Linked DNA regions of Oreochromis niloticus. The protein of the gene in region 1 purifies or fractionates together with the protein of each later gene. This does not show direct contact. Links are inferred from orthologs where the notes say so. Each region holds a gene or a part of one and is shown in the gene's direction. Other genes may lie near its edges.

Region 1 (11,097 bases):
GACACAGACCCTTGCTGAGCGATATGGGCGATTAAACAAATTTTAGCCACCTCACTATCAGCCAAGCCTGGGTGGTTTTTCACGAAGGGTCGCTAGCCGCGCTAGCTAGCTAAGCTAGCGGCGCTAGCTAGCTAGCCAGCCGGCTATCAGCAACACGTAAGAGAACTGTTGCTAAATAAACTACACCTAAACTCGGTTTATATCTGACCCAAATAGAGTGCAGGTCATAACTTCTTACCTGAAATTCAGTTCACCTCACGCTCCTGCCTTCGCTTTCCCTGATCCATGATTGACCTCCGCGTTAGCAAACACCAGACGATCGGCGGTAGCCTCACCGCCTTGTATGTCTCGTTCGCGGCATGTCCTTTCTGTCACACACCGGTGGATAGCTGCCCTCTGTTGTAGCTCCACCACCAAACAACTCAGTTATTTTTTCCACATCGACCAGCATCATCGGCCCATATAAACGAAAAATAAGTCCAGCTAAGACACAGACCCTTGCCGAGCGATCGGGCGATTAAACAAATTTTAGCCACCTCACTATCAGCCAAGCCTGGGTGGTTTTTCACGAAGGGGCTAGCTAGCCGGCTATCAGCAACACTTAAAAGAATTGTCGCTAATATGGGATGTCTTGATAAAACGAGCAGATATTTGAAGTTTACACACCTACATTCTCGCCTGAAAATATCTTAAAAGTGCATTTTGTGACCTAGAAACACGAATAAAAGACATATAAAACGAAGTGGTGTCCGCCATTGTTTGACTCGGTAGAGGCATGCTATGAATTGTGGGATATGTAGTTTTCACCAAGCATGGCACCCTTTAGGCCGTACTACTCCCGGTATACCACTAGAGAGAGCCAACACACCACAAATGAAGTCTGTTTCTATGGTGCCAAAAGCAGAATCTTTCTCAGGAGCCTAGAAATTGGCCTAAATTTGCACTAAAATCTAAATATTTCAAAAAGTATAAAAGTTATGAACACCAAAAGTCACACCATACTAGCCCAGCTCCAGCCGCACAAAATGATGTAACATATGTACCCCTATTGTCAAAACTGTTTGGCAGAGGAGCGCGGGAAAATTTTCACTAAAATATTAATATTTTAAAAACTATAATAGTCATAAACACCAAAAGTCATAGCACACCATTCCAGATCCAGCCGCACAAAATGAGGTAACATATATGAAGCTTTTCTCAAAACTGCGGGGCGTGATACGTGCCGAAATTTAGGCGGAAGATGGAGAATAATAATAATAATAAGAATAATAAATCCGAGGAATAGTAATATGTGTGCCTCTTGGCATAGGCACACATAATTAAGAAAGATAGAACCAAGAAAAAAAAAACAAGAAAAGACAAAGACAGACTATGCTAAAAAATGTGATGCCACAGCACTAGTCAAATTGGTCAAGAGTAATAAGAATGGCGAACTGTGTTTAAATTATGTCACAAAATGTCAATGATGAAATATACAGTGTTTATTTCCTGGTTAGTCTGTAGTGGCTCCTGAAAAGCAAGTCTACCACACCGTCACCAATTTGACTGAGAGCTCAAAGCTCAGTGACAAGAACGCCTGACTCCGGGTCAGAGGTAGTAAAAGTACAGACATTCTCCACTTATCTGTTCTTCCACTTAAGCTGAAGAACAGATATTTTTGTTAAAAAATGCTCCAGTAAAAGTACTGATTTAACATCTTTACTCAAAAGTGAAATAGTATAGTCCTTGAAGTGTAGCTTCTCAAAGTACGTAATCATTCTCCATCTCTGACAGAAGTTAGCTCTCATTCTTTTCTCTCCCTGGAAATACAGCAGCTGGACCTTTATCCAGCAACACACTGTGCAACAAATTACACAGGAACTAGAGGTGGGCAGATTGATCCAAATATCGACAGTATCGATACCAACACTGGTATCAGTATCAGACTGATACTAATGCAATTGGATTGAATCTTTTTTCTATCCTCAGTTTTCAGTATGAATCCCACTGAACTGTGTTAAATACATTTTTAGTGTATTTTTAAAAATATTTTTTAATGAAAAAATATAGCTCAAAATAGTATATAGCACAAATGGTAAAATGGTAAATGGCCTGTATTTGTATAGCGCTTTACAAGTCCCTAAGGACCCCAAAGCGCTTTACACACCCAGTCATCCACCCATTCACACACACATTCACACACTGGTGATGGCAAGCTACATTGTAGCCACAGCCACCCTGGGGCGCACTGACAGAGGCGAGGCTGCTGAACACTGGCACCACCGGGCCCTCTGACCAGGGCCCGGGCCCTCTGAGTTACACAAGCTCCCTTTATAGGTTAAAACTATCAGTATCACTAAATTAAGGAAAGTATTGGTATTGGCAATACTTTCCTTAATTTATTTTGTACTGGATCGATACCAAAATTTGTAGTATCGCACAGCACTAACAGGAACAGTTTGTGTGTTTGCTCATGTTTTTTGAGCTGACAGAAATGTTTTAGAAACGTTATGTCACTGCTCCAGAAATGACCAAATGACGTGTTTTCACTATTTGTTAAATTCTCTTGCAAATACCAGCTGTACATTTTGGGCGTCTACTAAAATAAAAATAAAAGAATCCTAACATCAGACCCGTTTTTTTAAAAATTCATTAAGTAGCATGAGCTGTGTACACATGTGTAATGTATTTATTGTGTTTTAGTGTTTTACTATGAGTGTTTAACTGTATTTAGCTAATTAGACAGATCATATAAATCTCTGGATGTTTACAATGGCCATGAATACTAAAGGCAGGAAGTCTTTTCTGCAACCTTTCCCAATTGTTTCACATTGATGATCTTTTTCTAGCCAATCATTTGTGCTGAAAAATACAAATGTTAATTGAAGAAAATGCACATATTAATCACAGTAAAATTACGAGGGGCAGTAAAAACACTGAACACAGAACGCAAGTACGGACTTGCGTAATCAAGTATTGGACGAGAGACAGCGGTAAGAGGAAAGGAGGGGGACTGGCAGTGTTTGTGAATGACAGATGGTGTAACCCTGGGCACATCACTGTAAAAGAACAACTCTGCAGCAGAGACATTGAGCTGTTAGCCATTAGCATGCGTCCGTACTACCTGCCCCGGGAATTCTCGCATGTTATCGCGATAACAGCGTATGTCCCCCCCTCGGCCAACACGGATGCAGCCTGTGACACTCTCCACTCAGTGGTCAGCAGACTGCAAACACAATCTCCGAGAGCCCTTCTCATAATATCAGGGGACTTCAATCATGCCTCACTGGACTCCACACTGCCCACCTTCACCCAGTATGTGACCTGCCCAACCAGAGACAATAAAACACTGGACTTACTGTATGCCAATGCAGAACAGGCATACAGTTCATCACCTCTCCCTCCCCTGGTCAGATCTGATCATAACCTGGTGCACCTTGTCCCTGTGTATGAGCCCTTAGTGCGCAGGGAGCCACCAGCCACCCGCACAGTGCAGAGATGGTCGGAGGAGAGCGAGGAGGCTCTTAAGGATTGTTTTGAGTCCACTGTGTGGGAGGTGATCTGTGACGACCACGGAGAGGACATCGACAGCCTTACTACATGCATTACTGACTATATTAATTTCTGTGTGGACAACACCGTACCTACCAGGACTGTACGGTGTTTCTCCAACAACAAACCTTGGATTACTCCAGAAATTAAAGCTGTCCTCAAGCAGAAGAGGAGGGCCTTCAAATCCAAAGACAAAGAGGAGTTTAAAAGGGTGCAGAGAGAGTTGAGGGGACTGATAAGGAATGGGAAGGATAGCTACAGGCAAAAGATGGAGAACCAGCTTCAGCAAAACAACGTTGGTGAAGTCTGGAGAGGCCTCAGAACCATCTCAGGCCACAAACATCACAACTCTCTGCCTGGGAGGGATGTGAGGTGGGCAAATGAACTGAATCATTTCATTCATTCATTTCTTCAACAGATTTGATTCAGCCATGAGGCAGTCTCCAACATCGGCTGCAGACTCACCCACCCCCACTGCTGCTGTTCCACCTCAGACACTTCACACCTCCTCTATTCACCCTGCTCACTCCTCCCAACCCCCAACAACAGCATCCAATACACACTCAACACAAGGCTCCAGCCTGTCTCTCTCAACCACCCAGGTTAGGAGGGAACTGAGGAGGATTAAAGCCAAGAAGGCAGCGGGTCCAGATGGCATCAGCTCGAGGGTCGTCAGGTCCTGCGCTGACCAACTGTGTGGGGTGATGGAGCACCTCTTCAACCTGAGCCTGAGGCTGGGAAGAGTCCCACAGCTCTGGAAAACCTCCTGTGTTGTTCCAGTGCCAAAGACTTCACGCCCCAAGGACCTCAACAGCTACAGGCCGGTGGCTCTGACATCCCACCTGATGAAGACCCTGGAGCGGTTGGTCCTGGCTCAGCTTCAGCGCCTTGTGAGCTCATCACTGGACCCACTTCAGTTTGCCTACCAACCTGGCATTGGAGCGGATGATGCCATCATTCACCTCCTACATCGTTCCCTCGCTCACCTGGAGACCACTGGGAGCACTGTGAGAATCATGTTCTTTGATTTCTCCAGTGCCTTCAACACTATTCTTCCCTCGGTTCTGAAGGACAAGCTGGAGAACTCTGGAGTGGACCATCACCTCACTACCTGGATTTTGGACTACCTCACCGACCGACCACAGTATGTGAGGACTCAGGGCTGTGTGTCGGACAGGGTCGTCTGCAGTACGGGGGCCCCACAGGGAACGGTTCTGGCTCCGTTCCTCTTCACCATCTACACTGCAGACTTCTCCCACAACTCCACCCAGTGCCTACTGCAGAAGTTCTCTGATGACTCTGCAATAGTCGGCCTCATCACTGATGGGGACGACAAGGAGTACAGAGGACTGACTCAGGACTTTGTGGACTGGTGCCAGCTGAACTACCTCCAGATCAATGCCAGTAAAACCAAGGAGCTGGTGGTAGACTTCCGCAGGCACAAACATCCTCCACTGCAACCACTGAACATCCAAGGTATGGACATTGAGGCTGTGGACAGCTACAGGTACCTTGGTGTTCATCTGAACAGCAAACTGGACTGGACTCATAACTCAGACGCCCTCTACAGGAAAGGGCAGAGCAGACTGTATCTGCTGCGGAGACTCAGGTCGTTTGGAGTAGAGGGCCCACTCCTGAAGACCTTCTATGACTCTGTGGTGGCCTCAGCCATCTTTTATGGTGCGGTCTGCTGGGGTGGCAGCATCTCTGCTGGGGACAGGAAGAGACTGAACAGGCTGATCCGAAGAGCCAGCTCTGTTCTAGGATGCCCTCTGGACCCAGTGGAGGTGGTGAGTGACAGGAGAATGGCGGCTAAGCTGTCATCCCTGTTGGACAACATCTCCCACCCCATGCAGGAGACTGTGACAGCACTGAGCAGCTCCTTCAGTGGGAGACTGCGGCACCCACGGTGTGGGACGGAGAGATTTCGCAGGTCTTTCCTCCCCACTGCTGTCAGACTCCACAACAAAGACTTTAACTGATCAAACACACACATCCACACATGTGCAATAACACTAATGTGCAATAATCTTTTCTGGCATCGTTGTATTTTTACTCAGTTGTATATAGCATTTGTATTCTATTTTTATCTTATTGTATATTTTATTCTATTTTATTCTACTGTATATAGTATTTTATTTTATTCTATTCTGTACAGTTGTGTACTGTATTTATTCTTATTTTATTTTATTCTAATTTTTGCTTCATAACTTTTGCACTGTCCACTTCCTGCTGTGACAAAACAAATTTCCCACGTGTGGGACTAATAAAGGTTATCTTATCTTATCTTATCTTATCTTATTGTCAAACGGCAAGTGTCGACACACTTGTGCCACACACTCCACGAGGCGTCATCTACCCGTCACTGTTAGTAAAGTGCTTAAAACAAACGAACAAACAGATCCTATTATGCCCGACAGGCAAAATCTACCGGGTCACGTCCCTCAGTTAGGACCATTCCTAAGCAAAGTGGAAGGATCAAAAAACGAAATGTGCATGCAACACCACCCTCCCTCCGCGGGAGGCGCTATAAAAAATAAAGCAAACGTTGTCGCCACGTGATAGGAAAGATGTAAACCTTTTGTTCCGGGCTGCTTGGTGTAGCGGTGTACACTCGCTTTGCTGTGAATTTAGGAGACGTGATAAGGTTCCTTTTTGTTCGTTGAGATGGTGAAGTTGTCCGCGGAACTTATTGAGCAGGCTGCTCAATATACAAATCCCGTGAGAGACAGAGAGTTGGATTTAAGAGGTGAGTTAAATTGTCCTTAATACAGCATACATAGAAAGGCCTGTGCTCATTAGCTTACGCACATTTTACGCGGGCCTTAACGTGAGCCTCATTCAAAAACTTAACTGGATAGTGTTCAGTTTCATACGAACTGCTGCAGAAATAATGCTGGCTTATGTCTAGACACAACAAGGCGGATTTCATCATAATGTACTGTATATTAAAAGGGTAAATTGAGTCATTCCATCTGAAATCTTAGAGAAAATAAAAACCCATAACATTTTCTGCTCAGCCAACTCAGATTTGCCTGAAAATTGTATGTTTTAAAACGTTTGTAATAATTGCGATTAAATTTTGTCTTCATATATGAAGACTATGAAGACTTAATATAAATTTGGTTTCAGGGTATTTTAGGTGAATTGAAATCTGAGAATATGTTTGAACATAAATATCTCTGAAGATAAAATTTGTGCGTTTTCTCACCAAAAAATGTAATTGTGGTCAGCTAGTATGGGCTACAAATCCCATCATAACAAACAAAAACATACATTATTAAAAACATTCTTGATTATATTTGAATAATCTGTTAATTCAGGTTACATCATCACCAAGCTGCATTCTGATAGCACTTAAGGGCAAGCAAATGTTTGCATTCATAGAAAGAGAAAACCCACGGTAAAATAATTGGATATACAAAATGATTGTAGATGATTGTTGTCAGAGCTGACATAGTTATCTGCACACATTATGTGTGTGTTAGTGAGGAGCCGTGATAAGGTTCCTGTCAATCTGCCCCAGGGCAGCTGTGGCTACAACTGTAGCTTGCCTTCACCGGTGTATGAATGTGAGAGTGAATGAATAGTGGTATTGTAAAGCGCTTTGAGGGATCCCGAAAAGCGCTATATAAATGCAATCCATTATTATTATTATTATTATTATTATTTTAACTGGATGACTTTTAATCTGCTATTAATCGCATTATATGCATAATTCCATAATGAGTTAAAAAGTTGTGTATTGTATTTTAGTACTATTGCTATATGAGCAGTCAGATACTTTCAGGATATTTTTCTTGTTTTATTTATTTTTTTACATATGCTTTTTAACAGCAGTATTCCTGCTGCGCAGTAGCAGTTAAAGTAGCTCTTTAATTTCACCTTAACCATGAACCTGATCTAATAAAATCAAATAGTTATTTGTCAATTACAGGGCATTGACATTTTGTCTAGTTTGTTTTAGAAAAACAAGTTACCCTCAGTTCAATGTCACAATTATAACATTACAAACAAAACATGTTACTTCAAGAGATGTTCCTGTATTATTAAAATGTGACAAATTAACACCCAAAAAACGAATAAATTGCGACTGAGAAGTGTGGTGCCTTGTGTTGTGCATTGTGAGTAATGGCCATTATTCTACAATTCATGGAAACCATTTTAATAAAAGTTAAAATCTAAAATAAAATAATTCATCCAGCTATTTTCTTCTGCGTATCTGAAATCAGGTCGCGGGGCCTAAGCAGTTAAACCCAGACCTCTCTCTTGCAAATCGCTCCCTCTAGCTTATCCAGGGAAAACACTGAGGCATTTCCAGGCCAGCCAAGAAAGCCACCATGTCCTGGATCTACCCTGGGGCCTCCTCCCAGTAGGACATGCCCAGCCAGAACACCTTACCCAGGAGGCAACAGGCTCAATGGCTCCTTTTGATGTGCAGAAGTAGCAGCTCTACTTCGAGCCCCTCCCAAATGACTGAACTCATACTATGCTGAGAGAGAGCTAATGCACCCTTTGGAGAAGGTTATTGGCCAGTTATAGGCCAATACTGTGCCTTAGCATGGAAACTCCTGTCATGCATCATAGCAGGCAAGATGAGCAGGCTCAAAACACGAGTAGGGCCCTGAAGGGAACTGACAGAAACACCACGGGGGGAAAAGATCGGCTACTGGTAGAGCATCGAGCTGTGAATTGTGATGAATTGATATCACTCTCACTCCTGTGCCAGGAGTGAGAGTGATATCAATTCACTGATCTACAACAATGATATCAGAATGTCATTTGGAACAGAGATGTGTAGTCAGATAGTAGCAAAGAAAGGGAAGATGCTATCTGTATTTTAATTATTTTATTTTTTTGTTTTCGCCCAGGTTATAAAATCCCAGTGCTTGAAAATCTTGGAGCTACTCTGGATCAGTTTGACACTATAGATTTCTCTGATAATGAAGTCAGAAAATTGGATGGCTTCCCTTTGCTTAAAAGACTGAAAACCTTGCTAATGAACAACAACAGGATTTGGTAAGTTAGAGGTGTGTGTGTCTGTGTACGTGTGTTATTGAAAAAAATAACACTGCAACCACTGTTGTCTTCACCCGATACCCTGGTTGTATTATAAGGTGCTCAAAGGAGGAGATATTGACATAAAGACAAAACTCCATACCATGCATGAAGGATTACATCTCAAATCCAGCACTCTGCAAACATATGCTTGCCGAAAGATGGCTGAAGACTGAGTGTCAGAACCACTATCCAGGGCGAAACAACAAAGCTCCTTGTGTAATCCAAGGGCATAAATGGAACACCATAACCAGATACCTGGGATAGCACTCGGCCATGGTGTCTGTTGCGTCTATTGGAGTGTGAATCTTTGCGCTTGGATAGAAAACAGTGGTTGTATGAAAAGCTATGGACAATGGGTCTAAGGATTTGGACTCATTGCCTCATCAGCTGAAGTAGGGGTGGGCGGTATAAAACGGTATATGGTAGAAACGATATAAATTTGGCCAACGGTAGAGATTTTGACTACCGCTCTACCGCAATCCGGTTGTTCAGTCTGACGTCACTGGCCGTGTCTGGGCCTAAACTCCGCTGCAGGTCCATATATCAAACGATCACTGTGGCATTACTGAGAGTTGAAAAACTGTCTAAAGTCTTTCATCTTTAATAAAATGATCAGTGTTCTGCTCTACCAGGTGTAACAATTGAGTTTAACATCCAGGCATCCATGAAAATGGAATTTATGACATTTAACGGCGTTAGAAGTTAGCTCGCTAGCTTCTATCTAAATACAATATAGCATGTCCTGACTGCGGGGTTTTGGAAAAAAAATTCAAACGTACAGCTCTGCTATAACTTCCAACATAAATGAAGACAGAAAACTAAACAGCAGTGACGTTTGTAGGGTTACTGAAGTTTGGCTAGCTGGTATATAATGATGTGCTACGTGACCGCTAGCGACACAGCTATGTTAGCATAACATAAACAAGCTAACTTTTTTTCCACTCGATAAAAGTTAACGTGAGTGTTCTCGGTGGTCAGGAACAAATGTAATCGCATGGCAGGATGCTGTAAAAGGACTAAACTTCAGCCAGGAGAACAAGTGAGATAATCCATCCACAATACGAGGTTAGTCATTCATATACTGCTGCATGGGCTGTGCTGTAGTTACATCGTAAGGTTTTAAAAACTGAGCTTAAATAAATGATTAGCGGTAATAAAAGCCGAGGGAGGTCAACAGTGATCACTGACTGTTTTAGGAGCTTTTTGAGATTAAATAGAAGAAAATACAAAACATTAAACATGTTAACAACACAAAAGCCATATTAAACGCAGACTACTTTAGGCCCGGAAGTAGGATTCGTCACGTCATCACTGAACAACCGGATAGCGCATGTTGATGGTGTCATCAAGCTGCGCCTGTTTTGGTCGAAAAAATTGCAGCGGCTGCAAACAGTCAGCCAAACAATCCGCTGCAAATTATGCTGGGTGACAGTAATAGCAAAGAGACGAAGCACTTTTGGAATATGGGGAAAGCTGAAAACTGCGCTTCATCCACTTCCGTACCATTGACTCATTAATGCTGAATTCTCTCACAGCTGCTCTATTCCCATGTTGTTGCAGTATATTAATGACTAACCTCGTATTATGGATGGATTATCGCAGTTGTTCTCCTGACTGAAGTTTGGTCCATTTACAGCATCCAGCCATGCAATTGCATTTGTCCCTAACCACCAGAAACCCTCACGTTAACTTTTATCGAGTGGAAAAACGTTGGCGTTCATCCTTCAGCTTCACTGTACTAATGTTATGCTAACATAGCTGTTTTGCTAGCCCAATCAACTTCAGAAACCCTACAAAAGTCACTGCTGTTTAGTTTTCTGTCTTCATTTATGTTGGAAGGGATAGCAGAGCTGTACGGATTTATTAAATTCAACTCAGTTGAATTTAATAAATCCTGTTTTCATGGATGCCTGGATGTTAAACTTAATTGTTACACCTGATAAAGCAGCAACGCTAATCATTTTATTAAAGATGAAAGAATTTACAGTTTTTAACTCTCAGTGATGCCACAGTGTTCGTTTGACTTTGGGACCTGAAGCAGATGGAGTTTTGGACCCAGATTACTCCGCAAGGCTCCTGACTATGGCAGCCGTAATGCTATGGCAATCCATCAAGCAGTGCGGCTTCGTAGCTTACCAAAGTCGTACTAAAACATTTTTTTGACAGATTTCTGCGCGCTGTGTACTACATAAATGGTAAATGGCCTGTATTTATATAGCGCTTTTCTAGTCCCTAAGGACCCCAAAGCGCTTTACATATCCAGTCATTCACCCATTCACACACACACATTCACACACTGGTGATGGCAAGCTACGTTGTACATAAAATCAGTTCAAGGTCAGTAAGCACCACCAGAATTCATACATAAGGCGCACTGTCGATTTTTGAAAAAATTAAAGGATTTTAAGTGTGCCTTATAGTGTGTAAAATACGCTATACAGAAGTATGAGGGGCCGTACAAGCCAAAATTCATTCTTTCACTCTCACACACATACATTCTTCTCT
Region 2 (11,002 bases), on another chromosome or scaffold:
TAAACTTTTCACCACCAGGGGGAGCTGTTTACTAGTGGATGCATTGAAATGTTTTCAAATGTTTATTGATATTTAAGTTTGTATATTTTTGTAGCTCTCCATCTTTGACTTACGTGATTAAATAACAATTGCATTGGCTTAGTGCACCATCTTGTGGTTCAAACTGGCATTACACAAAGGTACAGCCCAGCCTTACTCCAACTTCAGTTGATATGTCTTCAGATATTGCACCTTTAGTTAAGTTTAGACACTGAAATCAAACATGTAGATTTCTTTCAATAGTATTTAATGTAAATAGTCATAATAACATTATGATGGGAAGCAAAGCCCACAGAATATGATCATTAAAAACACTGCTGCTACTAATCAGAGCTTAATTGTGCCATTTGTGTGTTTTTTCCCATGAACATTCGCCTATTCGCCACTCCTCTGTGCAACAGAAACTGCTAGAAGCCCACGAGGAGCAGAATAGCGAGGCGTTCACGGAGGCCGTGAAGGAGTTTGATTCTGTGTCTCGCCTGGACCAGTGGCTGACCACGATGTTGCTACGCATCAAGAAAACCATCCAGGGGGACGCTGGGGACCTGAAATAGACACAATTAGAAGAGGGGAGAGAGCAAAGGGGGGGAATAGGGGAAGGGGCCATTGAAGAGAGAAGGAAGATGAGAGTGGAGGGGATTAAATGATGGGACAAGAGACAGGCATGTATCTTAATGGATGTGTAAAAGTAGAATAAAGTAAAGGCAGAAAGATGAAAGAGGGTGGGAGGTGAAGGAGTTTACAGTTGTACATATCAGTCTGCATGTGACCTGCCCCCCAATGAGCTAAGCATCACCTTTAAATCACCTTAAGATCACCCTGTGTCTCCTGGTCCTGCAGTATTGCTCTCGTAACACTGGACAGAATTGTACTTAAAAGTAAGAGTGGAAAGAAAACGTGTGTGTGTGTGTGTGTGTGTGTGTGTGTGAAAGAGAAAGAGTGTGTGTGTGTGTGTGTGTGTGTGTGTGTGTGTGAAAGAGAAAGAGTGTGTGTGTGTGTGTGTGTGTGTGTGTGTGTGTGAAAGAGAAAGAGTGTGTGTCCACACCAGAAAGGTTAATGAAACTGTCTGATGGGAAAGTTTGCAGCTTAAATGAGATTTAAGGAAATATGTTATTAAAAAAAACAATATTGAGAAATATTATTTATGAGATTTCTGATATTTATTGTCAATACTGAACATATGTATTGTTTATTATGGTGCTCAGTGTTATGATTTGTCTTACTATTTTAGGTATTAGCCCCTCAGCTCTCTCTCCTTCTCCTTTCTCCTTTACTTCTTCTCCTCCTCCTCCTCTGTCTCACTGTCCTCTCCGCATCCCCACACCCTGTCAAATCAGTGAAATCACCCATTGTGATTGGTTGGCTCTTTGTGTTCAGGCCAGTGGTGGTTCGGCACAGTAAGCCACCAGTGCTGACTCCTGTCACTGCCTTGTTTTGTGCATGTCTACTGTCATGTTGTTGTAAGTGTTCTCCGTGTTGTGCTAATGTGTGAAGAACATACATGTAGCCTCGTATCATTTGTGTGAAATCAGTAAATATGTACTTCAGAGACCGAGTTGAATAAAAACATCAGCGCTCCAAGTATCTGGGTGTTTATTTAGAATATGGAAACAGACCACAGGCCAGAAGACGAGAACACTGAGAAAGAAGAATATCTCATGAAAATAAATATAAATAAAGGAAAATAAATACACTACATTCACTTTAATAACATAACATAGGCACATTCCTAAATAGAACTTGTGTCTCCGTGGTAGGTATTGGTGCAGTTACAGATTTTGGAAGCTAGGATCTGAAATGGATTTTAGTCATAGGTGAGATTGAGTCAATCAGGTTTCTCCCAAAGGTAGGTGGATACACCAAGATGAATTCTGCAACACTCAGCACAGTTCAACAAGGAATGGTAAGGAGGGTCATATTTAGCTTTTGTGTTCAGAGAATATTTGTTTCATATATATATGCAGAACAGGAAAAGGAACCGCAATAGAAGACCAAGCTTTTACATGTGATGTGCTGTTGACTGATAGAGGAAATGGCTGAAGCCAAGACATCCTACCAGTGGCTTGAAAAGGCCTGCTTAAAGGACAGCACAGAAATTCTGATCATGGCAGCAGAAGAAGAGGCCATAAGTACTGCATCCAAAGAGGCAGGAGTCTACCACACATGACAGGACCCAAGTTGCAGACTGTGCAAAGGTGCCCTGCAGACTATCAAACACATCTTGCCAGACTGTAAGATGCAAACTGAGACCGCATACACTGAGAGGCACAACCAAGTGGTGAGGAACATCTGTGCCACATACGGACTAAAAGTCCCCAAGTCCCTATGGGAGACACCACAAAGGTGACTGACAACAACAGAGGTAAGGTCCTGTGGGACTTTGAGTTCCAGACAGCAAGCAGCTGTGTATTTCCTCATCCACTCAAATGGTCAGCAGGACACTGCATCAGACCTTGTGTCTCAGCTGTACTCTGCTGACCATCCTGCACATTTCTTTTGATTGCCTGATAACCTTTAATGACATAATGTCTCGACATATGCAAGTCTTGTCAGAATGACAGATGCCACCTGGTGTTGGTTGTTTTAAAGTTAAAATGGTTAAAACCTTTTCTTAATAGTAGACCGTTATTTTTGGTTTAACATACCTTATTTGCTTTTTCATTTCAAAATTTAGGAGGGATAGACTTTTTATTATGCTTTGAATCCAGGAACTTACATATCAACGGTTCCTATCTATTCGAAACTGGTTGAGAAACATATTTTCATGCTACATGTAACACCAATATGGAATAATAGATATGCTCTCATTAAATGAAAATGTGTATACACAGAGAATATGTTTTCCAAAGGTCTCCAAAAGTTGAATCTGTTCATCTGGACGTAGCGTTTTGTGGGAGAAATGTTTCGTCACTCATCCAAGTGACTTCTTCAGTCTCAGCTGACTGCAGGTTTCCCCAAACCTTATAAACAGGACATTTGCATAATGACTGAAACCACCCCACTGAAGGAACAATGGGCTGTGAGGTCAGTTCCTTAATCATAATTATGCAAATTCCCATGACCATTGATCAACAATCACTGACCAAAACCCACTGATCAAAGAACACTGATCAATGGCCATGAGTCCCATTCACAGAGAGTTGGGGAATGGCTGCAATCACAGCAGTGTAAGATGGCGAAAGATGTACCCTTAGGCCCCCTCCTCGATTCAGAGATGGTCTTTCCCTTTTCACGTAAAGGGCCTCCTTGACTCCGCACTCAAACCAGCGTTCTTCCCTGTCCAGGATGTGTACATCCTCATCCTTGAAAGAGTGTCCTCTGGCCTGTAGGTGTAAATAGACTGCAGAGTCCTGGCCTGACGAGGTAGCCCTTCTGTGTTGTGCCATCCGCTTCGCCAGAGGTTGTTTGGTTTCCCCGATGTATAAATCCTGGCAATCCTCCTGGCACTTAACAGCGTACACTATGTTACTCTGTTTGTGTCGGGGGACCCGATCCTTGGGGTGGACCAGTTTTTGGCGCAGCGTATTTTGGGGTTTAAAAGCCACAGAGACCCGGTGTTTCGAAAAAATGCGTCTCAACTGCTCCGATACTCCTGACACATATGGGATCACCACAGGTTTTCGCCTGGGCAGCGGTTGTCCTTCTCTCCTGGATCGGCTGGAGCTTTCTTTGGGTGTCTTTCCAGCTTTGACAAAAGTCCAGCTGGGATAGCCACATTTACTCAGGGCCTTCTTGATGTGCTGTTCTTCTGCCTCCCTGGCCGCTGTGTCTGTGGGGATGGTGTTCGCTCTGTGTTGTAGTGTCCTGATGACACCCAGTTTGTGCTCCAGTGGATGATGAGAGTCAAACCTTAGATACTGATCCGTATGTGTAGGTTTACGGTACACGTCAGCTTTTAGATGTCCCCCATTACTGATGGAAATCTCACAGTCTAAGAAGGCTAACCTGCCACTTTTCATATCCTCCCTGGTGAATTTGATGTGTCGGTCCACCGAGTTAATGTGATCCATGAAGTGTAGTACGTCCTGAGATTTGATTTTCACCCAGGTGTCATCCACATATCTGAACCAATGGCTTGGTGGTGTTCCAGGGTAGGATAGCAAAGCCCTCTTTTCCACTTCTTCCATGTACAAATTGGCCACGATGGGTGAAACTGGGGAGCCCATGGCACACCCATGATTCTGCCTGTAGAACTGACCCTTGTATGTGAAGTAGGTGGAATGAAGACACAGTTCCAAAAGCAAACACACTTGGTCGATGCTGAGAGTGGTCCTGTTGCTGAGGTTGGTGTCATCCTGTAATCTCTTACGGACTACCTCCAACGCTTCCGTGACTGAGATGCAAGTGAAGAGAGATGTAACGTCGTACGAGACCATGGTTTCATCTGCCTCCATAATGACATCTCTCACCTTCTCAACAAAATCCAGGGTGTTCTGGATGTGGTGTTCAGAGCTGCCCACCAGCGGGTTGAGGATTGAAGCCAGAAACTTGGAGATGTTATAGGTGACCGAGTTGATCATGCAGACAATTGGTCTTAAAGGTGCACCCTGCTTATGTATTTTCGGTAAACCATACAGACTTGGTGTAGACTCCCCTGGGTACAGCCTGTGGTATGAGGTCCAGTCAATAGCCTTGTCTTGTTCTAACTGCTTCAGACAGTCTATCACCCTCTTCCTGTAACCACTTCCTGGGTCTCGTTTCAGGGGCTCATAAGTATTTTCATCACTGAGTAGTGACAAAATCTTCTCATGATAGTCTTTCTGGTTAAGCAATACTGTGCACCTACCCTTGTCTGCCGGAAGGATGATAATGTTGCTGTCATCACTAAGTGATGTGAGTGCCTTCCTCTCCTCCATGGAGATGTTGGATGCTGGGGGCTTTGCATTGCTGAGATAGGCCGAAACTTTCGTCCGTAGTTGCTCTGCTTCCACTTCTGAAATATTGTTGTTACGAATTGCTGATTCTGTGGCTGTGATCAGCTCCACTAGCGGGATTTTTCTCGGTGTGACAGCAAAATTCAACCCTTTAGCAAGGATGTTTTTCTCTGTTTGGGTGAGCTGTCTGTCAGACAAATTCTTCACCCACTTGTCCACATCCTCCATGTTGCATCCTTGTCTCTTCTGGCCACTGAGGACACTCTCCGTATTTTGCGGTGGTTTCCGACGTACAACAAGTAAGTCGAACTTCCTTTGTTGCCTGGTCTTAGACTTCTTGTGCTGTGCTAGACGAGCCTTCTCAGTGAAGTCAAAGACCTTTTGAAGAGTATTCTCATCTAAAAGCATAGTCAGTCTCCGTCGGATCCGCTCCTCTTGAGATTTTAGCATGTCGATGGTAAAATTTGTCTGCCTCACCCGTTCATTAAGCAACTGATGCTGTGCCTTCTGGAGGATTTTTGTTGCCCGGAAGCCTTTAACTGAAGAGCTCATTTGCAGACTTTTAGGAGTAATCCTGTTTTGTCGGCATCTGAGGCTGAATCTCAGGTGGTTCCTGTAGTCCGCCATCTTACGTGCTGTTTGCTCATACTGAAGTACAAGCTTTAGGCAGTCCTTGCCAAAGTGGGTTAAAACGTCTTGATGCATTCTCAATCATCCAGGAAAGTAAATCTCCAAAAGTTGAATCTGTTCATCTGGACGTAGCGTTTTGTGGGAGAAACGTTTCGTCACTCATCCAAGTGACTTCTTCAGTCTCAGCTGACTGCAGGTTTCCCCAAACCTTATAAACAGTACATTTGCATGGGAATTTGCATAATTATGATTAAGGAACTGACCGCACAGCCCATTGTTCCTTCAGTGGGCTGGTTTCAGTCATTATGCAAATGTCCTGTTTATAAGGTTTGGGGAAACCTGCAGTCAGCTGAGACTGAAGAAGTCACTTGGATGAGTGACGAAACGTTTCTCCCACAAAACGCTACGTCCAGATGAACAGATTCAACTTTTGGAGATTTACTTTCCTGGATGATTGAGAATGCATCAAGACGTTTTTTTCCAAAGGTGTTTTTAAAAATTAATTCATTTTTTATTTTCTTATACGAGTTATTTATGTTTAAATGTTCAGATTTATATATACATTTTTATTACAATTTTTAATAATTTTATAAGTTAGTAAATGTATTTATTTATTTTTTAACATGTATTAATTCTATGGTGAGTGCTTTTCATAGATATTTGCCTTTGTCTGTTTTATCAAGTTGTGAAAGGGGAGGTGGTAAAGGAAACTGTCATCGAATTTCGTCATTACTCGTCGACCACATTACCCACAATTCATGTGGTGCACCCGTTGTGAGTTTCCGGTATGGTGCATGTCGCTTTTTCCCTCGCAGCGCTTGGTTTGTAGTTGGATTTTTGTTTTGTTTTAATCTAAAGCTACAAAACACCACAGCTGGATAAGAATCACTTATAGCATTTCACTGAAGGAGGAGATACAACGAAGCCGCCAAGATGCCGCGAATTATGATTAAAGGAGGCGTCTGGCGCAACACTGAGGTACGTGTTTACATGGCTAGCTTGGTTAGCATGATGCTAAACTCCGAAAGCAAACCTATGGTCTCGAGTTAGCATGAAGCTAGCTACTCACTTAACGAATTTATCCCGTGTGGCATTTAAAGTTTATTTAAATTATCGCCAGCTGTGTTTTAAGACTTTATTTCGTGCTTGTGTTGAGTTGTATGCACGAAGCTTTTTAATTTGCACTTAAACATACATGTTTACAGTTAGCGAATATTTGGCAATCTAGATGGCCAAAATAACAAACCACAAGACTTCATAAATTTTTATAAGTGAGCAAAAGATAGGGGATAATATAATTGTTTTTCAGCACTGGGATGAAAATGAATCAGCCCACTGCGGATTGAGGATAAAGGGTTTTGACATGTTTAGTCTGATTAAATCATTTGTCATTTAGTACATCCATTTAATTTATGGACGTCTGTTCCTTCTTTAAAAATTTATTTAGGATGAGATCCTCAAGGCAGCTGTAATGAAATATGGGAAAAACCAGTGGTCCCGTATCGCCTCCCTGCTGCACCGAAAGTCTGCAAAACAGTGTAAAGCCCGATGGTGAGTTTTGAGTCAGAGATGTGTGATGTGTCAAAAACATGAGATTAATTAAACTTCTACATACATTGATGTTTGTTTCTTCTGTCTGTGATTTTTTTTTTAGCTTTCAAATCTCTCTTTAAGAAGAGCGAAATAAAGACCTTCTCCTCTGGCTTTGTTTCTGTCTGTAGGTACGAGTGGTTGGACCCCAGTATCAAGAAAACAGAATGGTCCAGAGAAGAGGAGGAGAAGCTGCTTCACTTGGCCAAGCTGATGCCCACCCAGTGGAGGACCATTGCTCCTATCATAGGAAGGACTGCTGCTCAGTGTCTGGAACACTACGAATACCTGCTGTATGTTTATCTCTAAAGACACATTTATTCACTATGTTTTGTAATTCTGTGGCTTTTCACCTTGTATGTCCAGGAGCATTCATTGTTGCTAATCATTGCTGATTTGTAATTGAGATGCATTTTGTGTTTTATTCAGGGACAAAGCAGCTCAAAGAGACAATGAGGAGGAAGTGGGAGATGACCCCAGAAAGTTGAAACCAGGAGAAATTGATCCCAATCCTGAAACAAAACCTGCCAGACCTGACCCTGTGGATATGGACGAAGGTACAAAAACACACTGTCAGATGCTGTCAGATTTATCGAGCCAACAAGAGAATGTGTCCTTGTGTTAAGAATGGATTTGCTTCCTAGTTATCTTGTACATTTTTATATTTAATTATTTAAGATTAATCATAACAGTCATATGTGGTAACTAACCAATGTGTTTTGTGTGTCTGTCTGTCTTCATCGGTCTGTAGATGAGTTGGAGATGCTTTCAGAGGCCAGGGCTCGTTTGGCCAACACCCAGGGCAAGAAAGCCAAGAGGAAGGCCAGAGAGAAACAGCTGGAGGAAGCCAGGTTCAGCTAATTTAATGCTTTTACAATTGCCCTCAGACAAGCTGTATTTATCATAACTTTACCTCTTACAGAGCAGTTGACATGTAATAATAAAATGATCATATGTGACTCTTTTTTTCCTGGTGTCATACTGTAGGCGGCTGGCTGCTCTGCAGAAACGCAGAGAGCTGAGAGCAGCAGGAATCGATGTTCAGAAGAAGAGAAAGAAGAAGAGAGGAGTAGACTATAATGCTGAAATCCCTTTTGAAAAGAAACCTGCACTGGTAACCACAGCTTTATGTGTTGTATCCTTAAAAATAACCCACAACATCAGCAGTGAGATTAACTTAATCTTACAGTAGTAATTGTTGTCTTTTGTTTACTTTAAGGGTTTCTATGACACCAGCATGGAGCAGTATGATGCTCAGGAGCCTAATTTCAAGAGGCTCAGACAGCAGCACTTGGATGGAGAATTACGCAAGTTAGTATCACTTTAAACTACTGGTGCTTTTCTGTATGCTAACATGGCTCCTTGTTTATGTCACTTGAATACTTTCCTTGGGTCTTGACTTCTCCCAGCAAAGGCGTGAGAATGTCACGCTGATGGTATATAATATAAATAATAAGGATCAAAATGTGTTCCACATTTTTTTGGTTTTCATCCATTCGTAAGCCCTGTTGTGTTTTTTTTTTAAATTATTATTATTATAGTGAGACTGAAGAGAGGGAGAGGAAGAAAGATAAACAGAAGATAAAGAAGAAGAAGGAGAGTGACTTGCCATCTGCTATCCTGCAGACCAGTGGAGTGGCTGAGTTTACCAAAAAACGTTCCAAACTGGTGTTACCCGCACCACAGGTAACCACTTTTTTTTTAAAATTTTATTACTTCTGGATTTTATATATCAATATAATGTACTTGTTATATTGATAACAGGTAGTACATTAAGTTCTTTAATTGGCTTTCTTCACAGATCAGTGACGTCGAGTTGGAGGAAGTTGTCAAATTGGGTGTCGCCAGTGAGGTCGCCCGTCAAGCTGCCGAGGAGAGTGAAAGCGCTAACTCCGCCTCCTCCACCCTCCTCTCAGAATACAGTGTCACCAATACCATGGCAACAGGGCTACGAACCCCACGAACCCCTGCTGCTCAGGACAGAATCATGCAGGTAATAAAGACACTCAAAAGCAATGTGTCACATATGTCTTTTTCAATCTCACATAATCCCGTATGTGTGATTTCAGCATATATGTGATATCTCATATTAATTGATCCATGTAATTACAGAGATGCTAAGCTAAATTGTCCCACATGAATAAAGAGTAAAGTCAGTCAAAATTAGAGGGCCAATGTGAAATCACAGTCCTGTCTGCACATTTGAACATCATACAGGTTCCATCAGAAAAATACCTTATAGTCTGCTGTTTGAATTGTGAATCCAAATAATAATAATAAACGTAAGTTAGTAGAGACAGGATAGTGCTTAAAAATGTATGTACATATTATGTGTTGATCACTTGGCCACCAATCTGTTAGGGTCATTTATGCATTTGCCTTTATGTATGCATTAAGGAGTATCGTTGTCAGTAAAAATGTAATATTACAAATTGATACTAATTTCCTGCTTCTAAATTCAGATGAAAGAGGTTATTGTACTCGGCCCTAAAAATCTTAGAAATACGGCATCTAACCAGATTCTTACTCTGGATGGCATTACCTTGGCCTCTAGCAACACTGTGAGGAACCTTGAATTCATTTTTGACCAGGACATGTCCTTCAATGCACATATTAAACAAATATGTAGGACTGCTTTCTTCCATTTGGCTAATGTCTCTAAATTTAGAAACATCCTGTCTCAGAGTGATGCTGAATAACTAGGTAATGCATTTATTACTTCCAGGCTGGACTGCTGTGATTCATTATTATCAGGATGTCCTAAAAACTCCCTGAAAAGCCTTCAGCTAATCCAAAATGCTGCAGCAAGAGTACTGACAGGGACTAGAAAGAGAGAGCATATTTCTCCTAAATTGACTTCTCTTCATTGGCTCCCTTTTAAATTTAAAATAAAATTGAATGGAAATGATACTAAATTCCTTTCTTTTTGTTTTTTAGTATTTATCTGTAAATTAATTTGTACCATCTGTGTGTGTGTCTTTATTTTCAGGAAGCTCAGAACCTGATGGCTCTGACTAACATCGACACCCCTCTGAAGGGAGGCCTCAACACCCCACTGCATGAGAGCGACTTCAGTGGAGTGACGCCTCAGCGTCAACAGATACAAACGCCCAATACTGTTCTCAGTACACCATTCAGGTAAGAAACCTTTAATCCGTTACATAGCATAAGGTCTACACTCTGTCAGTTAAATAGAGTACTGAATTCTTTTTTTAATTTACTCTCTGCATCAACTCAAGATGTAATAAGCACAAAAATGTCTTTGTCAAAGCTCTAACAAAAAACCAGATGCTATTGTCCGTTTACATTTTGTAAACAGTGTGAACAAAGACAGAATCTTAAAGAGACATGTGTTACCATTTGCTACCCAAGCCTCAAATGCTGTGTCAGGTTTGTTGAGCTGCATTTGTTGAATGTGTGGTGCACTATTCCATGTCACAACCATTTTCACCAAAGAGAAAGGATTTCCTAGACTTGTTTCTATACTTGTTCCTATACAGTTTTCTCATTTCAATAATTTTGTGTATTTCAACTACAACAGAACTCCTGGTCCAGGTCAGGGGTCAGATGGCATGACACCTCAAGTCGGAGGTGCGATGACTCCACGTGTGGGAGGGACTCCAGGTTTAACTCCCGGCCGTACACCACTGAGAGACAAACTGAATATTAACACAGACGAACAACTGGCTGACCCTGCATATGCTAAACACATGGTAAAACAAAAACACACTAATACACATATAGAACTGTGAGTGCACAACAAACAGATTTGTAATGATCGGTTCAGAATCTGTGTAATGTGCCACAAATCCTGAATGTTGCAGAAAAGTTCCAAGTTTTCTGTTCTTGTGTCTTGAATAGAAATTAAA

The links.
Region 2: the proteins of snrpa1 (region 1) and cdc5l purify together in Homo sapiens (affinity purification with mass spectrometry; 5 studies listed by BioGRID and IntAct, counting the BioPlex papers as one, with this or other methods). This does not show direct contact. The link is inferred for Oreochromis niloticus from reciprocal best matches to the Homo sapiens genes SNRPA1 and CDC5L.

Annotation. Positions count from the first base shown.
Region 1 is NW_020327524.1:104,707-115,803, forward strand, and holds the start of snrpa1 (U2 small nuclear ribonucleoprotein A'), read left to right. Parts: upstream 1-6,086; 5' UTR 6,087-6,198; coding exon 6,199-6,280; intron 6,281-8,402; coding exon 8,403-8,550; intron 8,551-11,097. UniProt on the Homo sapiens protein: Involved in pre-mRNA splicing as component of the spliceosome. Associated with sn-RNP U2, where it contributes to the binding of stem loop IV of U2 snRNA.
Region 2 is NC_031978.2:5,909,170-5,920,171, reverse strand, and holds the start of cdc5l (cell division cycle 5-like protein), read left to right. Parts: upstream 1-6,294; 5' UTR 6,295-6,476; coding exon 6,477-6,521; intron 6,522-6,990; coding exon 6,991-7,094; intron 7,095-7,264; coding exon 7,265-7,426; intron 7,427-7,562; coding exon 7,563-7,690; intron 7,691-7,884; coding exon 7,885-7,984; intron 7,985-8,120; coding exon 8,121-8,247; intron 8,248-8,352; coding exon 8,353-8,444; intron 8,445-8,674; coding exon 8,675-8,819; intron 8,820-8,934; coding exon 8,935-9,126; intron 9,127-10,122; coding exon 10,123-10,271; intron 10,272-10,674; coding exon 10,675-10,846; intron 10,847-11,002. Other genes in the region: napba (N-ethylmaleimide-sensitive factor attachment protein, beta a), read left to right, coding at 441-593.